Cricetulus griseus: one gene and its partners. Each later gene encodes a partner of the first gene's protein in a complex. Links are inferred from orthologs where the notes say so. Each region holds a gene or a part of one and is shown on either strand. Other genes may lie near its edges. The genes, in order: Micos13, Chchd3, Apoo, Apool and Chchd6.

The links.
Region 2: Micos13 (region 1) and Chchd3 share a complex: the UniProt entries of both Homo sapiens proteins name them as parts of the mitochondrial contact site and cristae organizing system (MICOS) complex. The link is inferred for Cricetulus griseus from reciprocal best matches to the Homo sapiens genes MICOS13 and CHCHD3.
Region 3: Micos13 (region 1) and Apoo share a complex: the UniProt entries of both Homo sapiens proteins name them as parts of the mitochondrial contact site and cristae organizing system (MICOS) complex. The link is inferred for Cricetulus griseus from reciprocal best matches to the Homo sapiens genes MICOS13 and APOO.
Region 4: Micos13 (region 1) and Apool share a complex: the UniProt entries of both Homo sapiens proteins name them as parts of the mitochondrial contact site and cristae organizing system (MICOS) complex. The link is inferred for Cricetulus griseus from reciprocal best matches to the Homo sapiens genes MICOS13 and APOOL.
Region 5: Micos13 (region 1) and Chchd6 share a complex: the UniProt entries of both Homo sapiens proteins name them as parts of the mitochondrial contact site and cristae organizing system (MICOS) complex. The link is inferred for Cricetulus griseus from reciprocal best matches to the Homo sapiens genes MICOS13 and CHCHD6.

What each region holds. Positions count from the first base shown.
Region 1 is NC_048598.1:96,937,046-96,940,561, reverse strand, and holds Micos13 (MICOS complex subunit MIC13), read right to left. Parts: upstream 2,095-3,516; 5' UTR 1,942-2,094; coding exon 1,913-1,941; intron 1,441-1,912; coding exon 1,263-1,440; intron 1,105-1,262; coding exon 1,050-1,104; intron 709-1,049; coding exon 611-708; 3' UTR 503-610; downstream 1-502. UniProt on the Homo sapiens protein: Component of the MICOS complex, a large protein complex of the mitochondrial inner membrane that plays crucial roles in the maintenance of crista junctions, inner membrane architecture, and formation of contact sites to the outer membrane.
Region 2 is NW_023276806.1:194,875,400-194,879,395, forward strand, and holds the start of Chchd3 (MICOS complex subunit MIC19), read left to right. Parts: upstream 1-1,192; 5' UTR 1,193-1,333; coding exon 1,334-1,414; intron 1,415-3,996. UniProt on the Homo sapiens protein: Component of the MICOS complex, a large protein complex of the mitochondrial inner membrane that plays crucial roles in the maintenance of crista junctions, inner membrane architecture, and formation of contact sites to the outer membrane.
Region 3 is NC_048604.1:75,618,009-75,622,133, reverse strand, and holds the start of Apoo (MICOS complex subunit MIC26), read left to right. Parts: upstream 1-1,325; 5' UTR 1,326-1,364; coding exon 1,365-1,508; intron 1,509-4,125. UniProt on the Homo sapiens protein: Component of the MICOS complex, a large protein complex of the mitochondrial inner membrane that plays crucial roles in the maintenance of crista junctions, inner membrane architecture, and formation of contact sites to the outer membrane.
Region 4 is NC_048604.1:59,659,093-59,663,077, forward strand, and holds the start of Apool (MICOS complex subunit MIC27), read right to left. Parts: upstream 2,811-3,985; 5' UTR 2,787-2,810; coding exon 2,736-2,786; intron 1-2,735. UniProt on the Homo sapiens protein: Component of the MICOS complex, a large protein complex of the mitochondrial inner membrane that plays crucial roles in the maintenance of crista junctions, inner membrane architecture, and formation of contact sites to the outer membrane.
Region 5 is NC_048601.1:53,698,645-53,702,661, reverse strand, and holds the start of Chchd6 (MICOS complex subunit MIC25), read right to left. Parts: upstream 2,811-4,017; 5' UTR 2,701-2,810; coding exon 2,614-2,700; intron 1-2,613. UniProt on the Homo sapiens protein: Component of the MICOS complex, a large protein complex of the mitochondrial inner membrane that plays crucial roles in the maintenance of crista junctions, inner membrane architecture, and formation of contact sites to the outer membrane.

The DNA of each region.
Region 1 (3,516 bases):
GTCGAGCTCCAGGGAACGGGACGCCTTCTGGATAGTGTGGGCAATGTAGACATACACATGAACACATGTGCACATGCTGTGCTAGTCAGTATTTTTTGTCAACCTAATAGTCATCTGGGAAGAGGGACAGTAAACTGAGATAATGCCTCCATCAGATTGGCCTACAGGCATGTTTTGATTGATGAGTCCAACACAGCACCACCCTGGGCTAGTAGGCCTGGGTGCTATTTAGAGAGCAGGCTAAGCGATCCTCCATGGCTTCTGCTTCAGGCCTGTCTCTTGTTCCTGGCTTCCCTCAGTGATGGAGTATGGCCTGAGAGGAGCAAGCTGAAACAAACCCCCTCCTGCCTGAACCACTTTCAGGCATGGTGCTTTATCACAGCAAGAGAAAACTAGAAACAACCAACCCCTTCTGGGCTCTAAGCAGGGATCCCCAATGGACAGGACTTTCTCCACAAGCAAAGGTTGCCAGAGCTACGACCCCCCAAAACACAGATCGGGAAACATTCCCAAGTTGTTTATTGGACCAGCAATGCTGGAAGCTGCCCAGAGTGGGTCCCGACTGTGGTAGAGTCCTGCCCACCCCGTAGCACGGGGCAGGTGGCATCCATTACTTGCTGTGCTCTTTCACATAATCCCAGCCCTCCTTGGAGTACTCTCGGGCCTTGCTGGGGGCCACGGACAAAGCTGCCATGACAGAGATGATGCCTGCAAGGATAATGCATGGGTGCCAGTGAGAACCCAAATGCCAGAACCATTCTCACAGCCAACCCCCAAAGAAGCCCAAGAGTGGTAACTGGAGCAGGAGTGAGTGGGGCCACCCCTTCCCTTCGTGTTGTTTTAGAGAAGTTCCTCTGTGTAGCCCTGGAACTAAAAATCTTCCTGCCTCGGCCTCCCAAATGCTGGAGTCATAGGCATGGGCCACCATGCCCAGTCCTTTCTACTTAGCTCAATAGGCGACATTCAGGCACACAGGAATGGAAAGGAACGGTGAGGCAAACAGGGCTGGGATGCCGAGGCATCCCCCAAGCAGAGGCATAGGGACCTACCTGAGTTCCAGGATTCACGGAAGTTCGGAAAGTTAATCTTTGGAGGGGCTGGGAGCTGGGAACAAAGAGGAGCACAGGTGCTGGTGCGTTGGGGATAGGTCACACCTTATCACCCAGACCCAGTGATACAAATTCCACGCAACAGGTGGTACAGGCACCAAGGCCACCCAGAATTGACCTGCCAAGCCCCATCCTCCCTCCCAGCCAGATTACCTGTGGCATCTCCAAACCCGTCTGCTGGCATACATACTGGCTGAACTGGTACATTGCTGGTGGCACCACCTCCTCGGCCTTTCTTAGAGCAGCCTCGCTCTTGTCACTGGGTCCCAGCAGCTCCTGGTCATAAACAAGGTAGACTGCTCCCCCAGCCACACTTCCCTTGATAAGGAACCTACGGGGAGACAGGAAGGGACTGAAGCCGGGGACCTGAACAGTTCACCAGGTGACACCCTGGGAGCCCAGGGAACAAGGATCATTCCTTTGCCTTGTGTGACACGACTTGTGGTAAGCCGAGTCTTAAAGTAAGAGACAGTGGGTCATTCGAAATCCTGCCGCCAGCAGGAGCCCAGGGGAGCTTCCTTCATGTCATTCAATGAAGGGGCGACGGGCAAGCTTTCCCACGCGTCCCCACTGCACATACGGGAAAACTTAAGCTGTAGGTGACATGGGCTGGCTGGGGGGAAGGAGAGAAGAGATGCAGTTAGCCTTGCCAGCAAACCCGGTTCCTTCCCTACATGGGCCGTGAGAAGAGGTCCAGAAGCAACCGGAAGTAAGCCTTCGCAGGACACCCAGCGGCCAGGCACATATGCCTATAGCACGGAACTTTCTCGAAGGTTCAGGGCCCAACCCGAGTCTCCACGCACCTCATTAGCGACCATACTCGAGCCACCATAGTCGATCCCTCGCTTCACTCCCCGCGCAAGGACACGCGACTCGCCCGCCGCTTCCGGTGGGCGATGTTACCGAGGTTCCTGGGAAAGGTAGTAGTCGCCGTGAGCCGCAAAGGACTCCGGGAACAGCAATAGGGTTAGACTCAGTATACCGAGGACAGTGGGTGCCGCAATTCTTTCTGGGAAATGTAGTCGGGGAGGGGGGGAACAAACCAGAGACGAGCTAGGCCGCGAAGCCTCCTGGAAAATGTAGTTTGGAGGGTCGATGGAAGGAGCCCTCAGAGGACGCGTATGGGATCCTCGCGCCTGCGCGAAGGATTGAGCGTGCCTGAGGTCTAGCGAGCCTAGGAGGCAGTTACCACAGCAACGCGAGGGCGGGATTGTTCCGGAAGGATAGTCTTTCATCACGTCTCGGGGTGTGTCTTTCACCTAAAGGGGAAAGCAGAGGCCGAGGCTGGCTGGTTGAAATCTGGCTAAGGTTTTTGCCAGTGAGTCCTATCCCCCCATATGCCAGGAAGCTGGGGGTCATATGATACGGGTTGGCAGTGTGTGGTCCCAGGTCAGGTAAAGGGAGCAAAAAGTGAGGTAACAAAGGTGATGATCATATAGATCCCTGTTCTGCTGCAAGGTAGGGATAAGTGGTTGCTGGAGACCGGAACAGGGAACTGACAAGCTTTACCCTTTTATACAGCTTTAACTGGAGAACCCAGAGATCATGGGGCAGAGAGTTCTTAGAGGGTCCGAATGCTAGCCACAGTCTTGCATTCACTGTGCTGCTGCAGGTACAGGCCCATCCACTGTCCAATTCTGTCTACCCACATACCCTTTCATCCACGAATACACCCACCCATCCATCTGCCCACCCACCCCCCGCCCATCCCTCCACCCATCCCTCCACCCACCCCTCCACACACCCACCCACCCATCCATCCATCCATCCATCCACCCATCCATCCACCCACTTACCTTGATGGCTTGCTTTAATCAGAGCCTGGAGTTTCATAGGTTCACACTGGAAATGGTTAGGTGGAGGGAGATTTGTGGACTTCACAACCCAGCGCTTCTCCCTATGCTATTTCAGCATTTTGAGTTTGGGAAACTTCCGCTCCATGTCTTCCAGACTTAGGTAGAAATTCCAAGGTAAGAAAGACCTGTGTTGCCAGACGGTGGGGGCACACGACTTTAATCCCAGTACTCTGGAGGCAGAGGCAGGCGATCTCTAATGACACACAGACACACATGCAGACAAAACACCTATACACTGCCGGGTGGTGGTGGCCACGCCTTTAATCCCAGCACTCGGGAGGCAGAGGCAGCAGAATCTCTATGAGTTCGAGACCAGCCTGGTCTACAAGAGCGAGTTCCAGGACAGCCTCCAAAGCCACAGAGAAACCCTGTCTCGAAAAACCAAAAATAAATAAATAAATAAATAAATAAATAAAACAAAGAGCAAAAAAACAAACACTATACCCGAAAACCATACACACACACACACACACACACACACACACACATATATTGTTTGTTTTTTCAAGGCAGAGTTTCCGTGTAGCCCTGGCTATTCTAGAACTCTCTTT
Region 2 (3,996 bases), on another chromosome or scaffold:
GGATCCCTCTGACATAAAAGGATGCCATGGTATGTTATATTCTGGGGCTTTTAATGCCAAACAGGACGAATTGAAAAAAAAAAAAAAGTCCATGTTCAGCCAGTTCTGTCCCCTCCCATTTCCCCCCTCTCCTTTCTGCCTCCCCCTTCTCCTTCACTCTCCCTCCCTCACATAGCAGGGCTGTGTGCCTTTCACAAACAATTGACCTATATCTACAGCCCCACCCATCTAACTTCTAAAGAGTATTTATCTGCCCTTGTAAATCTAAGATCACACTGTGCTTTTAGCAAGTGTTCAGCAAAAACAAAACAAAACCCACCAAAATCGAAACGAAATACATGGATAACCTAAAATCTTATATTCTTCATGGAGGTAAAGTACTGAACTAGAAACTTTCCAAAATAGGTCTTCTCAATTTTGTCTAATGCCGTATTAATTCCTCCACGAATTCATGCCAACTTTGGCGATTACTTTTCTCGGCCTAATTGTCAGGTGATGTAACTTATGGATAAGCAGGGGAGACACAGACATGGGAAATAGTGTTCTACCTGCATGGTTGGTGTAAGTAATTTTTTCCTATGTATTTTCGTGTGCATATTTGAAAGCCCTAACATTGAAAGTTTTATTTCACACAGGCGAACATAGGCCATGAGACAGAACATAAGCACATACAGTGTCTGCTCCTGAAATTTTAAGTAGTCTAAAACTCTAGTAATGGCAAAATGTTAAGTTTAGTGCCAGAGATTTGAGAATAGGAATGTAAGAACAGCTTGTTTAGGGGAGCGCATCTCCCACATCTAGCTTTCAGTTGTGTGAAGAACCACTGCTTACTTAACTGACCCAAGTTTCTAGAGTAAATTGCGAATCACGCTGATTGGGTGAACAAACTTCCTTGAACATAGACTGGTTACAAACCTCCCGGGCTGTCAGACTACAACTCCCAGAATGCTCTACTCCCCTTGCAAGCTCTGGAGCAAGAAAAGATGGTTATAACACCTACCACGCCAGGTCAAGACTACAACTCCCACTACACTCAGAGGCTCCGGAAGCCTTGCTAAGCACACACCTGTTGCCATAGCATCCGGGTCCGGGTCCACCAATCCTGGAGCACCTTCCGATAAGAGGCGGGCGGCTTGCTTCTCGGGCCAACCCGGGGCGTCCTGCTCCTGGCACGTGACCGGAGGAGGCGGGCTTTCGGGACCGGCGCCTTCTCCTTGCTTCTCGGGGTCGTGGCCTTGCTCCTGCCGGGGAAGCGTTCCCGGGGCCTTGGCGCGCGCGTCCTGCCGTGCTCGTGGGTCCACGCTCGGACTCTGCGGGGACAGAAGCGGGAGCCATGGGCGGGACCGCCAGCACCCGCCGGGTCACCTTCGAGGCCGACGAGAACGAGAACATCACGGTGGTGAAGGGCATCCGGGTGAGTGCCGTGGGCGGGCGGAGGGCAGCCCCTGAACTCGGACCCCGACGCTGAGACGCGCCCGCGATCGCTGCACCTACCCTCCACGCTCGCTCTCGGCTTGCGCTGCTGTCCCGCTGCAAGCCTGGGTCTCTGGGAAGAAGCCTGTAGCTTCAAGACTCGGAACGTTCATTCAGAGAAAGTTGGTTGCGTGCCAGCCGCCAGGCACTGTGCTGGCACACACAGATGGGGTGCCCGGTCACCACGTCGTCCTTGCTCACTAGTTGCAGGATTTAACTGAAGCTCCTGCCTCACTGTGCCGGCCTGTGTGCCTCCTGTTCAAGACTTGCTTTTCCACATCTCTCTCTCTCTCTCTGGGCGAATTGGTGTTTTAAGGATGACCCTTCTTTGCCTCTGCCATTCAGTGCCCCGCTTCTAGTAGCAACCCTGGCCCCAACACGTGCACACACACACACACACATGCCTTCAAGTCATTCCTGGCCCCGCTGGCTAACTTCTGGCTCCTTCCCTTTCGCCTGATGAATGTCGTTTTCCCAGGCGCCTCCCCTGCGGTTTGTTGGCCCAAGTTTTGAACCAGGCCCAGTTACTACAGGCAGGCCTGCTGTCTGCCAGCCTGATTGGGCAGAGGTCAGTTTGCAGCTCTTCAAGGTTGGTAGAACTGAGAGAGTCCGTTCTGAGGGATATGTTGTAGAGACCTTTTAAGTACCCTCTGCGTGGACTTGCTACACAACCGAAAGCTGTGTTTTCGCTAGGATGTCAGGGTACCCGCCCTAACTTCGTTAACATTCTGCACCTGACTTTGGAGCGTCATGGTTTGGGAAGCACACCTGTACCTAGTAAATAAAGCACTGTGGCTCCAGAAGGTTTTAGAGTACCTTATATTTTCTGTTTTTACACAACTGCTATTAGTCGGTTAAATATGTAACATCCTTCTTTTGCTTTTGTTACTGGGAAATAAAACATGTCAAGTGTTTAAAAACTTCTTCCTTTGAAATTTGTTAGTTTGAAAAGAGCTTATTAAAGTTTTCCTGATAGAAACTTGAAACTGTTTGAACTGAGTTTTTGGTCCGTGATCAGCAATTCTCACTACTTTTTGTAGTAAGATAAGACTTACTACAAGCATGAGTTTTATACAGAGATGGAAGAAAAAAGTAAGTTGTCGCTAGGCTATGAATGTTCCATACTAGAGAGTGAAAACTTAAGAACAAAGAGAAAGCTTAAGGTGAGAAGATTTGGTTGGAAAAATGCATAGGTCCATGTCCTCATGTTTCAGTGCAGACACGGTGCAGACACAAAACAAATTGAAAGAGAATTTGGCCACAGCACAGTGATGGATAAATTATCAGATGTTGAGTGATAGGCATGGCAGTAGGGAGTAGGTATTAGACTCAAGTGGTGAGATTGTTTTTAAAGAAATTTTGTGAGTTGTTTTTTTTTTTCCCCCCCAATCTCTTCTGCCACACAACTTGAAGTAAGCTTCCTTTCTCCCTGTTGATACAGTCCTGGCCAGGCAGCCTTATTTCACAGGCATTGTATGCCACTCCCCTGTGAATGGCCTGGGCCAGGTTTCTTTACTTCCTGTCTTTTTCAAGGATGCCCTGTCATTTCCTGAGCTCTGTTCAGTTTTCTTCTCTTCAGACTGGTGGAGCCGAGTACACCTTCCCAATCTCTATCTTTTCCAGCTCTGAAGTCATATGAGTTTCTTGCCACTGTCAGTTTTTTGAGAAGAAATGTAGCCTATTCCAGTTTCTTCCAAAACTGGTAAGCTGTTGAACTGTGAGGATGTGGAGGTCATTTTGGCTTCCTTGAGGTCATCAGGAGAAAGCCAACTTGGAATTAAGCTGACATGTTTGGTCTGTGGCACTGGACAAGTTACTTCTCTGTTGACACATCCTTATCCATAAGTCCAAATGTTATCACTTCCTTTGGATAGATGGGAGTTTAAGGTATGTAAAACTCCCAGTGAATTGTAGACTTTTAGTTTATTATTATTATTATTATTATTATTATTATTACTGTTTTGCAGTGCTGGGAATTGAATTAGGTCCTCACATGTGCTAGACAAGCCCTCTACCATTGAGCTCTATTCCAAGCTGCTTTGTATATTAATAAATAAAAAGTGGCCATTATTATGGTATGGTTCCTTTCACAAAGTGCTCTGGAATCAAACAAACCTGGGTTCAGATCTTTGCTCTGTAGGATTTAGTATAACTTACCAAATGGACAAGTCACTTTTGACTGCATTTCCCTGTCTGGTGTTTGTTTGGCATATGTGTCTAGTGCTTTGTCAGTGTTTACACTTGGAGTTTCTCAGGAGAGCTGGAGGTTAAACCTGTGAGACCACAACATAACTAAACAGGAGAGTATGCTGTGCCCTCAGGAGAGTGAGGATCCTGTGGGAGTCTTGTAACTCTCTTTTAGCTGCTCTTGATGTTTTGCTTGGCTTCAACCGGTCCTCTTGTTTGCTTTCCAGGCATGAGAGTAGTATTCTCAGCCTGTAAGCAAGGCTTTGACTTCAGGCAGTTGTTAAAACATGGACAGATGAGGCCCAAACTCCAGTTTTGGATTTCACAGGTTAATGC
Region 3 (4,125 bases), on another chromosome or scaffold:
CGTACAGTTCTGTTGAGAAGGAAAGAGCTGCCCTTAACATTTGGGAGTTGGTCTGGCTGAACCTTACCGTTTTCCCTTCCCTGAAGGTTGCTAACACCTACAAGTTCTGCTTAAAAAGAAAAAACCTTAACCACAAGTCACTAAGCCAAAGGTTAAATACTATGACAAACTTAACATTTTTTTACTGAAATGCTCCAGTTTGCCCTAGATGGGCATTTTTGTTGCTTTTTCTCGCAGCAAACTAAAAAAACCCCACACACCTAATTTAAGGACAGGTGTGTTTCTAGGATAAGAGGACAGTGACCTTTTACCGAACAAATCTCCAGATCTTCAGGATGCCTATGTGGCTTCCATCTTCTGTTGAATTAGGACAAGAAATACAGGACGAAATACGAAATACACCGTCTCTACGGGACGCGCTAGCGTTTGCCCAAGCTAGCGCAGAGATTTCAAAGGCAGACTACCTTGAATTGGATCCTAGCTTTAGATTTTCCGCAGTTTTGGACACTAGGCAATGAGAACCATGCCCATCCACTTGTGTCGGAGCAATAAAATTACGCATTTAAACCAGTGTTAAAGCTTGCTTTTTTTCTGGCGAATAGTTAAATACTGTCATTTTACTTCTACAATTAATAAATGGGACAAATATTTGATTCTCAGATTTACGCTTTAGTACTTTTCTTAAAAAAAAGGACAGTTTTCGCGACTAAATGACGCGGTGCATTTACTATTACATAAAATTTAAGCAACATTCAGCATACGGTAAATTCTTTAAGGAAAAAACCTTTTGTGAGGTAAACCGAAGCCCCACGATCGATCGCGGCTTCTCCCTAAGAGGCTGGTGCGGCCACCCCAGGACCGTCGGGCGCCACCGCCTGGCTACCTCGGCTTACAGGATTCCCATCCGCACAGCTAGGCGCCCAGTGGTGGAGGCGAAGCCGGTTCTCCGCGCAGCAGGGTGCCAAGGAGCCTCCCCCTTCTTACCACAACTTGCCGCCCACACGGAGCTGCCGCCTTTTGCCGCCTAGCAACAGCCGGCGAGGAAACAGGGCCAACAAGAAGGCGGGGCTTGGGTTCATCAGGCTCCCGCGCGCGGGCCCCTCTCCGTTGCTAAGCAACGCAATGCGCCACCTAGCGGTTGCCTTGAGCTTTTGGCGGGTTGAGTTGGGCGGGGGAGCATCACCATCTCGTGCACCACAACCTGCTCGCGGTCAAGGGAATTAGGATCTAAGCCGGCCACCGTAGTCGCTTTTCTCAGTGGGCGGGGCCAAGGGAGGGGTGACCCTGCCGGAGCCACGGCTGCCAGCGACATGTTCAAGGTGAGAGCTTGGAGCCGGGTCACAGTTGTCATCGCCCCCTCTCAGATGCCGGGGTCCCTTCCCACACTCCCGTGGGCCTTCTTTGAGGATCAGACTCGGGTGTCCCCAAGGCTTTGCCCACCTCCGGGCTGGCTAAGTCCTGTCACAGCGATTCATTCACTGCTTGGTACCAGCACCTGTGAGACTGAGGCATGGAACCCTAGATGGGTGGGATCGGCCCTCGAGTAGTTCTCAGGGGAATGAAACACTTTGAAAACTTAAGACGCAGCTATAGTACCCATTTCCTCGGCTAATGCCCTTTTGGGGTAGTAGGTAGGATGAGGCCAGGTCCCGGCACTGCAGCGTTCGTGGCTTTGGTTGCTTGGCAGGATCAGGTTTCCGAACCGCACTTGTGGGTGGGGGGAGGGTCAGCTTCGGAGGATGTCGGGGAGGTTGGTGAGGGAGAGGCTGCTTTGAGGAAAGCTGGAACTTCCTCTCTGGTGAGCGTTAGTGTGGAAAAGTCGACTCTTATCCTTATCCCCTCCCTTACGGGTTTTTTCATTTGAACTCCTGTCCTCCGTAAGATAGACATTTACAGTGAAGACTTCGAAAAACCTAAATTTTATCATAAAGTTATTCTTTCTTTTTTTATTTTTTTTTTCGAGACAGGGTTTCTCTGTGGCTTTGGAGGTTGTCCTGGAACTAGCTCTTGTAGACCAGGCTGGTTCTCGAACTCACAGAGATCCGCCTGCCTCTGCCTCCCGAGTGCTGGGATTAAAGGCATGCGCCACCAACGCCCGGCCAAAGTTATTCTTTCTTAAAAGTCAGTTATATTTTGTCATTCAAAAAATTACAGGCTGCACATGCCTTTAACCCCAGCACTTAGGAGGTGGAGGCAGGTGAGTTCGGGCCAGCCTGGTTTACATAGCGATTTCCAGGCCTACATAAAGAGACCCTTTCCAAAACAAAACAAAACAAACCCCCCAAAACCCCACACGCATCCAGAAATCTATAAAATCAACTCTCCAAGAAACATAATATTTACAGAATAGTGCTAATAAAATCTCAAAATTCTGCTACCCATTTAAGAGTTTCCTGCAGCTGCAGTGTTTGGGGTGCATTAATAACGGCTGCCAAATCAGATCATGGTTTCTGCCTTCCATTGCTGCCGGTTTCTAGCTATGTGATAATGGGCATGTCACTTAACTGCTCTGTGACTTTTTTTCTATTGGTGAAATTAGGGTAACAAAAATCTCAATTGTAAAATACTGAGGAGAATTATCTCACTAAACCCAGAGGAAGGATGGACACTGAACTCATTGATTTGTTGGCTCATTGTCATCAAAGACCTGGCTCTTCTGGGTTTACTATGGTATTGTTGGTTTTCCTTACAGTTACAAGATGAGTGGCAGTAACATTACTTTGCCATTCACTAGGAGAAGAGGAGAGGATAAAACTCCCATGCTTGGATTATGTTTTTCCTTCAGGTCTGATTGAACCAACGTGGGTCAGGTGTCTGTTCCTAGCCCAATAGCAGTTATCAGGGGAATATTGGGCTCTGATTAGCTTCAGTCAAACAGATTCACTTTGCTTACCATATGGAAAAGGAATGGTTTCATGAGCACAGTGGGGTTCTTTAGGAAGGAAGAGGTATAATGGAAACTGAATCTGCAACCAGCAATGCTCATGTCAGGTATATTCATATAAGTCTGTGAACATGTTCATTGACTTGGACTCTTTGAAAAATCTTTCACAATCTTCATACATGTAAGTTTATTGATAGAAATGAAAGATTAGCACAGATTGATGACTCAGACAAGTTTTTTTTTTAACGGGGGGGGGGGGGAGAAAGAGAGAAGGAAAAGGATGTGATTGTAGAACAGTGGTTCTCAACTGACTGATACCACCCCTTTGGGTATGTTTTGGAAATTGCAGGGGGGTTCTTTGTGTCTTTAGATGTGTTAAACATTTTCTTTTTTTTCCGGGACAGGGTTTCTCTGTGGCTTTGAAGGCTGTCCTGGAACTAGCTCTTGTAGACCAGGCTGGTCTCGAACTTACAGAGATCTGCCTACCTCTGCCTCCCGAGTGCTGGGATTAAAGGCATGCGCCACCAACGCCCGGCTGAACATTTTTTTTTAGTTTTAATTCTTCTGTGTATTAGTGTTTTGCCTGCATGTATGTCTGGTGTCCACAGAGGCCAGAAGAGGGCATATAATCCCTTGGAACTGGAGTTACAGATGGTTGTCAGATGTCCTTTGGGTTCTGGGAATGGAACCTGGGTCCACTTCTCTCAGTGCTGGGCCCCCATCTGGTACAGACCCATGCAGGCCCTGTGCAAGATGCTACAGTCTCTGTGAGTTCATATGTGTGTCCGTTATGCTGTGTTTAGAAAGCCTTGTTTCCTTGGTGTCCTTTGTCCTCTTTGGCTGTAACAATATTTCCTCCTCCTCTTCCACAGGGTTCCCTGAGCCCTGAGGGGAGGGATTTGAGGGAGATGTCCCATTTAAGACTGAGTGTTCCAAGGTCTGTCACTCTCTGAATATTGTCCCATTTTATGGTGTATGTGCTTGGCTGAGGAGCCAATGGGGCAAAGCTACCATCTGTGGGATTATGACTGACCGCTTCTAAGTCAGAATCCTGACTGCTGGAATGATATGGCAGCGCCAAAGGAGCCTCGGTTGGTCCCAGATAGCCGGCTCCCCATCCCTGCTGGGAGCTGGACCAGGGACTGGTGCGGAGAGCCATTTGTCCTGGGAAATGGGGTATGACTGGAAAGGGGGCCACCCTCTCGCCCATCAAGCTGAACGCACGTTCGTGTGTTCTCATC
Region 4 (3,985 bases), on another chromosome or scaffold:
TGGATATCTGCATCACATTTGTTGTCCCCTAAGGCTCAAAAATACCATGAAAGATGCGAAGTTTGTGAGAATCAGAAGAAAATCACTGGGAAACATCTTCTGTATGCATGCTGGAGCAACCATGAATTCAAAACCTCAGTTCGCCCACCCTACATCAAGACAGTCAAAGTTCCAGCAAGGATTGGAATGGGAGGGTCTACTCTGCCCTAAAGAGGATCCATGGACAGTGTATGACAGCAGGAGCAGAGAGAGTCAGTTTTCCTCAGTGGCCTAACCCCAAATATGGAGACCATTCTCCAGTGGAGGATTCCACACCTACACCCTGCTTACTTCATTGGGTTACTAAAAAGAAGGGGGGAGGGGGAGAGAGGAAGATGAGGAGGAGAGGAAGGTGGAGATTCTGTTTCCTAAGACACAGCAGGGATGGGGACATTGGAAGGACAGCTTTCCTTTTCCTTTTTCTATATATAGGGGAACTCACTCTACAGACCACACCGACCTCAAACTCAGAGATCCACCCCCCTCTGCCTCCTGACGGGATTACAGATGTGCACTACCACACATGTTGGGACAGTTTTTGTTAATGCATGCTAACTAGTTTACACTTGGCAGGGAATTCTCTGCTGAAACATCTGCATTCAAATTTCTAGCGTCCTGTTTGAAGGACAATGTAAGAGAGAGGATGACTGACAACTATAAAGCTGACAAGGGGTTTTATCTGAGGGACTTCCTCAAGCAAAAGGAAAAGAACAAAGGATTCATGTCTAGCCAAATGTCACTGCTAGAAAAGCCTTCTATTATGCTTTTACAGCACAGCACTAGAATAGCACCATTTGCTGCAACACCACCTAACTGCTGCATAGCACAGGCTACCACAGATTACCACAGAGCACTGCTGAGGGGCACCAGACCACTGGGGCTTCAGGGATAACCATAGAAAGCAGACCTCTTTTGGCTAGTGCAGCCCACAGTCACTCTGTTCCTCCAGTGACTTGGACGTTGGAGCCTGGTTGGTGCAACCTTCACTGGCTATTTGCCTGATTGCTGCTGCCCCTGGTGGACACAACCAATAGTTTGCAGGAGCCACTGCAGAGGCGATTCATAACCTGGATTTGGGCCTCAAATCACAAAATACTCCATCTCCAAACAACCAATGAAACTGCCATGGAGATCATGGCATACAAAAAGAGCAGTTTTTTATGTTTAATAAGCCTTACAGAGGTCAGTCAATAAGATGGGTTGGGGGTGCTTTGAGAACTAACCCTGGACCAAAACCAGAAGTGACACCGGGGCCATGTGGGTGGCCCAGAATTGGGAATCTGAAATACACTTTAACCCTATGTCAATTTCCTTATGTGATCTAAACAATTATTTGGAGAAACTGACTAGACCATCCATAACTTCCACCTTGCTAACAGCACCTGCCAGAGTCCTTACATTGGCTGTGAGCACTACTGGAAAAATGTTCCCCCCCGGCAGTACAGGAGGCTGCACGTTTCCTTGTTCCATTGATGGTAGAAATGGGAGTGACAGAGACTACTGCCTTGAACACTACAGCTCTAATAAGGGGAAAAAGGAGCCTACAACAGATAATTTATCAAATAGATAGACATTAGACACCTTCAGTTACACTCCATGCCAGATAGTCTCTGACAGAAACAGGCCTCCAAAAGAGGCAAGGCTTAAACTTAATTTTCATGTCCCAGGGAAGACTGTGTGACACCATGAGAGACTTGTTGCTTCTGTGCTAACAAATCAAAAGTTATCATTAAAAAAAATCTTTACACCAGGCGGTGGTGGCACATGCCTTTAATCCCAGCACTAGGGTGGCAGAGGCAAGCGGATCTCTGTGAGTTCGAGACCAGCCTGGTCTACAAGAGCTAGTTCCAGGACAACCTCAAAAGCCATAGAGAAACCCGGTCTCAAAACACCCCCCCCAAAAAAATAATTTACAGAAAGTTAAAAATAACTTAAATCAAAAACAAAAATGAAGTAATTTCTGGTCCTATAACATGTCTGATTAAAACCCATGGTTCACAACTTTTCACTGGCCTGGATGGTCCCCTACTCAACCTTTTTATAAGACTTGCCATGGGGCCTTATATAATAAATACCTCTGTTAGGGTAATGATCTTCAAGAACCAGTGTTCACCCCTTTGCAAGATAAAAAATTTCAAAATAATTTTTTAAATGGGGGAATGAAATTACCAAGGTAATGCCATCATATTCTGATTTCATTTTCTGTTTGCTTAGATAGCTCTCAGCCCTTTATACCCTCCCTGCAATGGTCATGTCTGCCTTAGCAACACATGTGAAATTTCCATAGCCTTGACCATAGTCCAGATGTATTAACCAAAATAACTGGAAAGTTATGTCTGAAATAACTACTATACTCTGCCAGAAATGTTTCAAGGTTACTCTGACCCTCATGTGTCTTTGTGAGTTTTGCCTTAAAAACTATGTATCCCTGAACTTGGGCACCAAGAAACATTTCAGAGTCACAAACCCACAAACAAACAAAAAAAGACATAGAATTTTTAACTTATGAATATGGTTGTCAATAACTATCTCGTGTGGATCATTCCAGCTGGTCAGGGACATTCCCTTAGCAAAGTGAGAAAGTCTGTCCTACCTATGGTCAAAAGACCACATCCTGCCCAACACAAAATCATAAACTTATTTAAACATTACAAATGTGGGGATAATGTTTTGGAGATTTTTGTGTTTATTTATACCTTGATTGTGATTCTCCAGAATGAACTTGGTAGATGACAAGTTGGTTGCATTATCAAAAGGTCAGTTGGCCATGCCTGGTAGAAACTAAATAAGAATGGGCAAGGGCACTTTAAGAATTGCAGAAAGAGCAGGTAAAAGGGGGCATGGAGAGATAAAGTAAGAAGTACAGATTCCTAGGTGACAGGAGAGGAAGCTGGGGAGCAGAGGCTAGGAGAAGGGTTGTTATCTAGAAGTGTAAGCAGACCCCTGAGAGCAGATAATGGAGTGCTATAAAGGCTAGTAGAGGTGCAGGCTCTCATTTCTGTGTAAGTACTATAGTAGTACAGGAGAAAATGGATTCCATCAGAGGAATAAAGGGAGTAGAGTCCAGATAGCTGAGCGGCCCATAATTCAAGGGAAAGTATGAGGTCCCAAACTGCAGAAATGCAGTAAGAATGAGAAATGAAGAACACCTAAAACCAACATCGGGTGAATGAATTACTGACACTCTTAGCTCCCCCAAGCCTCACAGGGTCATTAGACACTTAAAAACTACAGTGCATAAGTATGTGTAAACTGATGTTGAAACCTAAGAGTCAGCTAGTTCGCTTCCTCTACCCACATTCCTACAGAAAAGCACCTTTTCTCATAATACTCCAAAGAAACCTGTTGTTCGACTGGGAGCAACAACATTATGCAAAATCCCACGTCCAGTAGAGATTCTGGGACGTCTGGTCTCTGTTTTGGCCCCGAGCAATTATTGAAGGAAGTCCTACGTCCGGGTCATGGAGCCCTGCCCTGAGCACTAAGACAAATGCCAAAGATTGTTTTTCTCTTTGTGGGAGCGGCTAGTTGCCCCTGCCTTTTCATCACCTAGCAGGTTACCGGACTAACGCCCGCCGTGCTGTAAACAGTTAACGGCAGGGGATTATGGAGGCGGCAAGGCAAGTGTGTCGAGACTGCAAGTCTTAAAGGTTCCGATCCTCACAGTCGCACCTCCCGGAGTTACGATAGATGGTTCTTTCTACAATTACTGGAATGCTGTGAGCTCAAAGCGAGTGGGGAGTGGAAAACTAAGTTTCTTTTGACTTACCCTAAAAGCCGCCATACCTATGACCCTCTCGGTTCGTTTTTCCGACGGAGAGCGCAGAGGGACAAAGCAGTTCGGCTTGACTTACGTCATCACCACAGCCCCTCCCCTTTATGCTGGTAGCCGGTCGGCTCCTGCCCTTTCTCCGTCCTCCTGCAGCTGCTTTGTCAGCTCAGATGC
Region 5 (4,017 bases), on another chromosome or scaffold:
ATGTGCAAGGCCCTAACACTTGATTTTAAGGAAGCAAGAGCACTGAAATCAGGCCCCGGGGATTAAATACAAGTGGTCTCTAAGAATTTTTTTTTTTCCTGAAACACCTAGGGCAGATATTCTCTTTTGGAGTCTACCTCTTATTGACTTCTCATGTGTTCACTAGAGTAACTGCTTTATTGATCTAATTGTTAAAATATGTATTATTTATTTTTACTTATCTGAAGACCGAGTGAACTCCTCAACCCTCAAGTAACTACTAATAACAACAGGCCCTCCACCAAACACTTCTTTACCTTAATGTTTTTTCTTCCTCTTTAAACCCAGGCACACTAGACATGGCTTTCCCAACAAGGGGCCAAGCACCTCACTGACTGACCCTGGAAAAGCCATTTAGTCTCTCAGATTAACTAAAAAAGGAAGCTAAAAACTACTGAAGTTCCCCCAGTTTCATTGCCTATAAAAGTAAGTAAGTACTAACATTCCTGACAGGCCAGGCAGAAGCAAAGTAAAAATTTCAGACTGCTAAACATGTATTATCAGGCTGGAGGGAGTCTGATAGATCTAGATTAGTCCCAAATGATACTCAAATGGTGCCTTAGGAACCAAGCTTGATATTCCATCTTTATACTAGAGTGTGGAGAAACTAGGCTGTAGAAGGAAGGCTCTGTGATTAAAAATGCTTATTGCTCTTCAAGAGGACTTGAGTTTGGTTCCCAGCACCCAGAGGCAGCAGCTCACAATAACCTACATCTCCAATTTCAGGAGCTTTGACCCTTCTTTTGGCCACCCTGGGCATGTGCACGAATGTGGTACACATACAGACAAATACAGACAAGCAAGCACGTGCAGGTACACACACACACACACACACACACACAGAGAGAGAGAGAGAGAGAGAGAGAGAGAGAGAGAGAGAGAGAGAGAGAATATTTTTGAAAAGCAGAGAAAATAATTGTAAAGACTTTATACTCTACAGGATTATTATGAGAACCAGAAACAAAAAGTCAGGGTCACCTCCAATGGTACTTCTCTAAACCTGTGAAGACTCAGGCCTGCATCACCCCCAAAACAAGAAACCCAGTAACAAAGGTGAAAAATATCCTGAGCCAAGGCTATCTTCCTAAATTCTACCTCAATTTCTTACCTCTCAGCCTTCAGCAGAAGCCATCTTCCCCCATTTAATCCTTGCCACAAGCCAAGTCAACAACACCACCTGGGCAGCACCTAAGAAGCTGGATATTCTGAGAGGCCTCTACAAAACATTCTGCATGTCTTCTACACAGTTTCCTTGGTAGTACCCAGGATAACCTTCCCCTCTTAATCTCAAGTGGGGCAAGTGAAATTCAATAAACAACTCATTCATGTAAGGTCACACAACTAATGAGCTTAGATGTTATACCCTTGGAAGTCTTTTTCTGAACCTTCTAATTCACCTAGACTCAACTCAGAACATTTTGTTTAAATTTGATTTATTTCACTGAGTTCATTCATGTAAGCACTTAACAATTATACACCAGGTACCCACTATGTGTCACACATAGGTGTAGAAGCAAGTACTGCACAGAATAAACTACTTTAGTCTTAGGCCTCCTGCTTTTCTACCTAAGTGACCCTGGACAAGTTATGCCAATAGCACCTCAGTTCTCGTAAGTGACAAAATGGACTAAGAGACCAAACTTAGTGGTGTGTGACTTAATCCTAGTACTCAGGACACAGGCAGGCAGATCTGGGAGTTCTGAGCCAGCCTGAGCTAAACAGTGAGACCCTGTCTCAAAACAAAACAAAGGAGGGGACACTAACAATTTTACTTCTCATAGGTCTATTGAAAATTAGTATCTGTAAAGGGCTGCCACTCTGCACTAAAACAGGAGCTTTTATTCTTCTAAGTTCTGGGGATAAAGAACTTCAGCCAAGGAAGCAGCCAGAACTGTAATGGGAAACCCAATAAACACAATTTGTTTCAAACTGTGCTGAGTGCTGTGAAAATTATAAACGTGTGACAGTGCTGTAGGAAGCTGCTTGAGACTCTGTGGTCAAGGAAGGATTTTTGGATGACATCTGAGCTGTAACACGATGATTGCCAGATTAATGGTAACTGAAGAAACATCAAAAAGATGGGATCTTCTGGGGAGAACAAGGAGGTCCTGAAGCAAAATAAGTGTATTATGAAGGTGAGGAACAGGCCTGGAAAGGGATGAAGGGGTTGGTGGGGCACCAGGGCAGCTTGTAAAAGCAAGTGAGGCGTTTCCTCCTCTTCAACATGGTAGAGACCCACCATTAAGGTTTTAGGAGAAGGGTGGATGAATTATACGGTAGCTAAAACTCCCCCTTTTGGGGCCTCACGAAGGCACGTTATCAAGACTGGAAATGGGGGAACACTTTCAAGAAGTGCTACAGCACACGCAACCAGTCGCACACACCAGGCGAGATGCGGTAGAGAGCGGAACAAATCCGGAAACGGGGGAGCAGAGCCATGGCGTGGAAACCGACTAGAGGCGGCCGGCTGCCCACAGTGCCAGTGGCCTCCCCCATCTATCTGGTCCCTGAACGGCGGCTCCCGCTCCCGCCCGCAAACTCCTCGGGCCCGCGCCCTCCCGCCGCGCCTCTCACCCGGATGCCCTGCAGCACCCGGACCCGCTCCTCCTCATCCATCTCGAAAGACACCCTTCGGGCCTCGGCGCTCTCGGCGCTGCCCATGACAGTAGGCAGACAGGGCGTGCGGCCACGCGAGCCGGCTCCACAGCAACCAGGACGACGCCGCTCCGCACCCTAGACTCTCCACTCGGGACACAGGCCAGCAACACCGCGTTCTATTGGCTGCTGCTGCTGGCGCGCGTTGCCTTGTGGGAGTTGTAGTCTAGCATTCTGGCGCCACTGGAGGGGGGGCGTGGTTCTCAGAGGCCAGGGTGCTTGTAGGCTGAAAAATTGGATAGAGGGTGTAACAGACACTGAGGCAAGGTCAAGGTTTCTTATAAATGTTATCCAGGAAGCAAAGCAAAGGTCGTGTTCTGAAAATAAACTAGCAAGGATGCTGAAGCAACTGCAAGGGCTGAGCAACAACTCCCCACCACCACACACACACACACACACACACACACACACACACACACACACACACACACCAACCCCAATTCCACTCCTACCCCCGGAGACCTGCCTCCTTAGGTTTCAGTCATGAAGGAAACAAACACAAGTAGTGAATTTAGTGTAGTACTTGGGAAACTGCACCGTAATACCGTGAGACAAATTAATAAATGATGGTAACCTTATAGAGCTTTGAGACCTAAAGGTGAGTGTAGTTCATCATGAGAAGGCCAGGGAAAAACTATCCTAGGCACCAACTGTTAATCCCAAAGATTTGAGGAGAAAGACCCCCCCCAACCCAAATCAACATGGCCAAATTAATTAAAGCAAGCAATTAATTAAAGCAAACTTTTTTGTGTACACAGACTGCTCTCCCTAAGGCGGGGTTCAATAGGTCAGACTTGGACATAGGCAAGATAAGGATTTTATAGCTCAGGAGGAGGGAGATTCCAAATGCAGAGTTGGGCAGGCAAATAGTTGGGGATATAAAAGGAGTTGTCATAACAACCTCTCATGAAACGAAGACAATGGTTGCAAGGTGGTCCTAATAAGGTAGTCAGTCATAACAAGGTGATCATAACAACAGGTGGTCATAATAATCTTTTGACAAAAAAGCATGGTTGCTATTTCCTGGCACAGGCAGTAGTTAACCACTTGTAGTTACTTAATATCCCATTACAGGTGGGACATAGCCCAGTCCTTAACAAACAGATTAAATCATAAACAGGAAATAACCTAGTTTATCTTTATTTTAAGATGGCTTTCAAGCCTAAGATAGAGGCAGGCTGGTTCATCATTCCCCTCTTGTCTTATGTGTCCCTATCAAATCATTAATAGGGTCTTAGCATTTTTTATCTAGGGGAAATAAAATTTTAATACATCAAAAGATGAATGGCCTCGTTATAAATTATACCTGTTTTGTTGGCACAG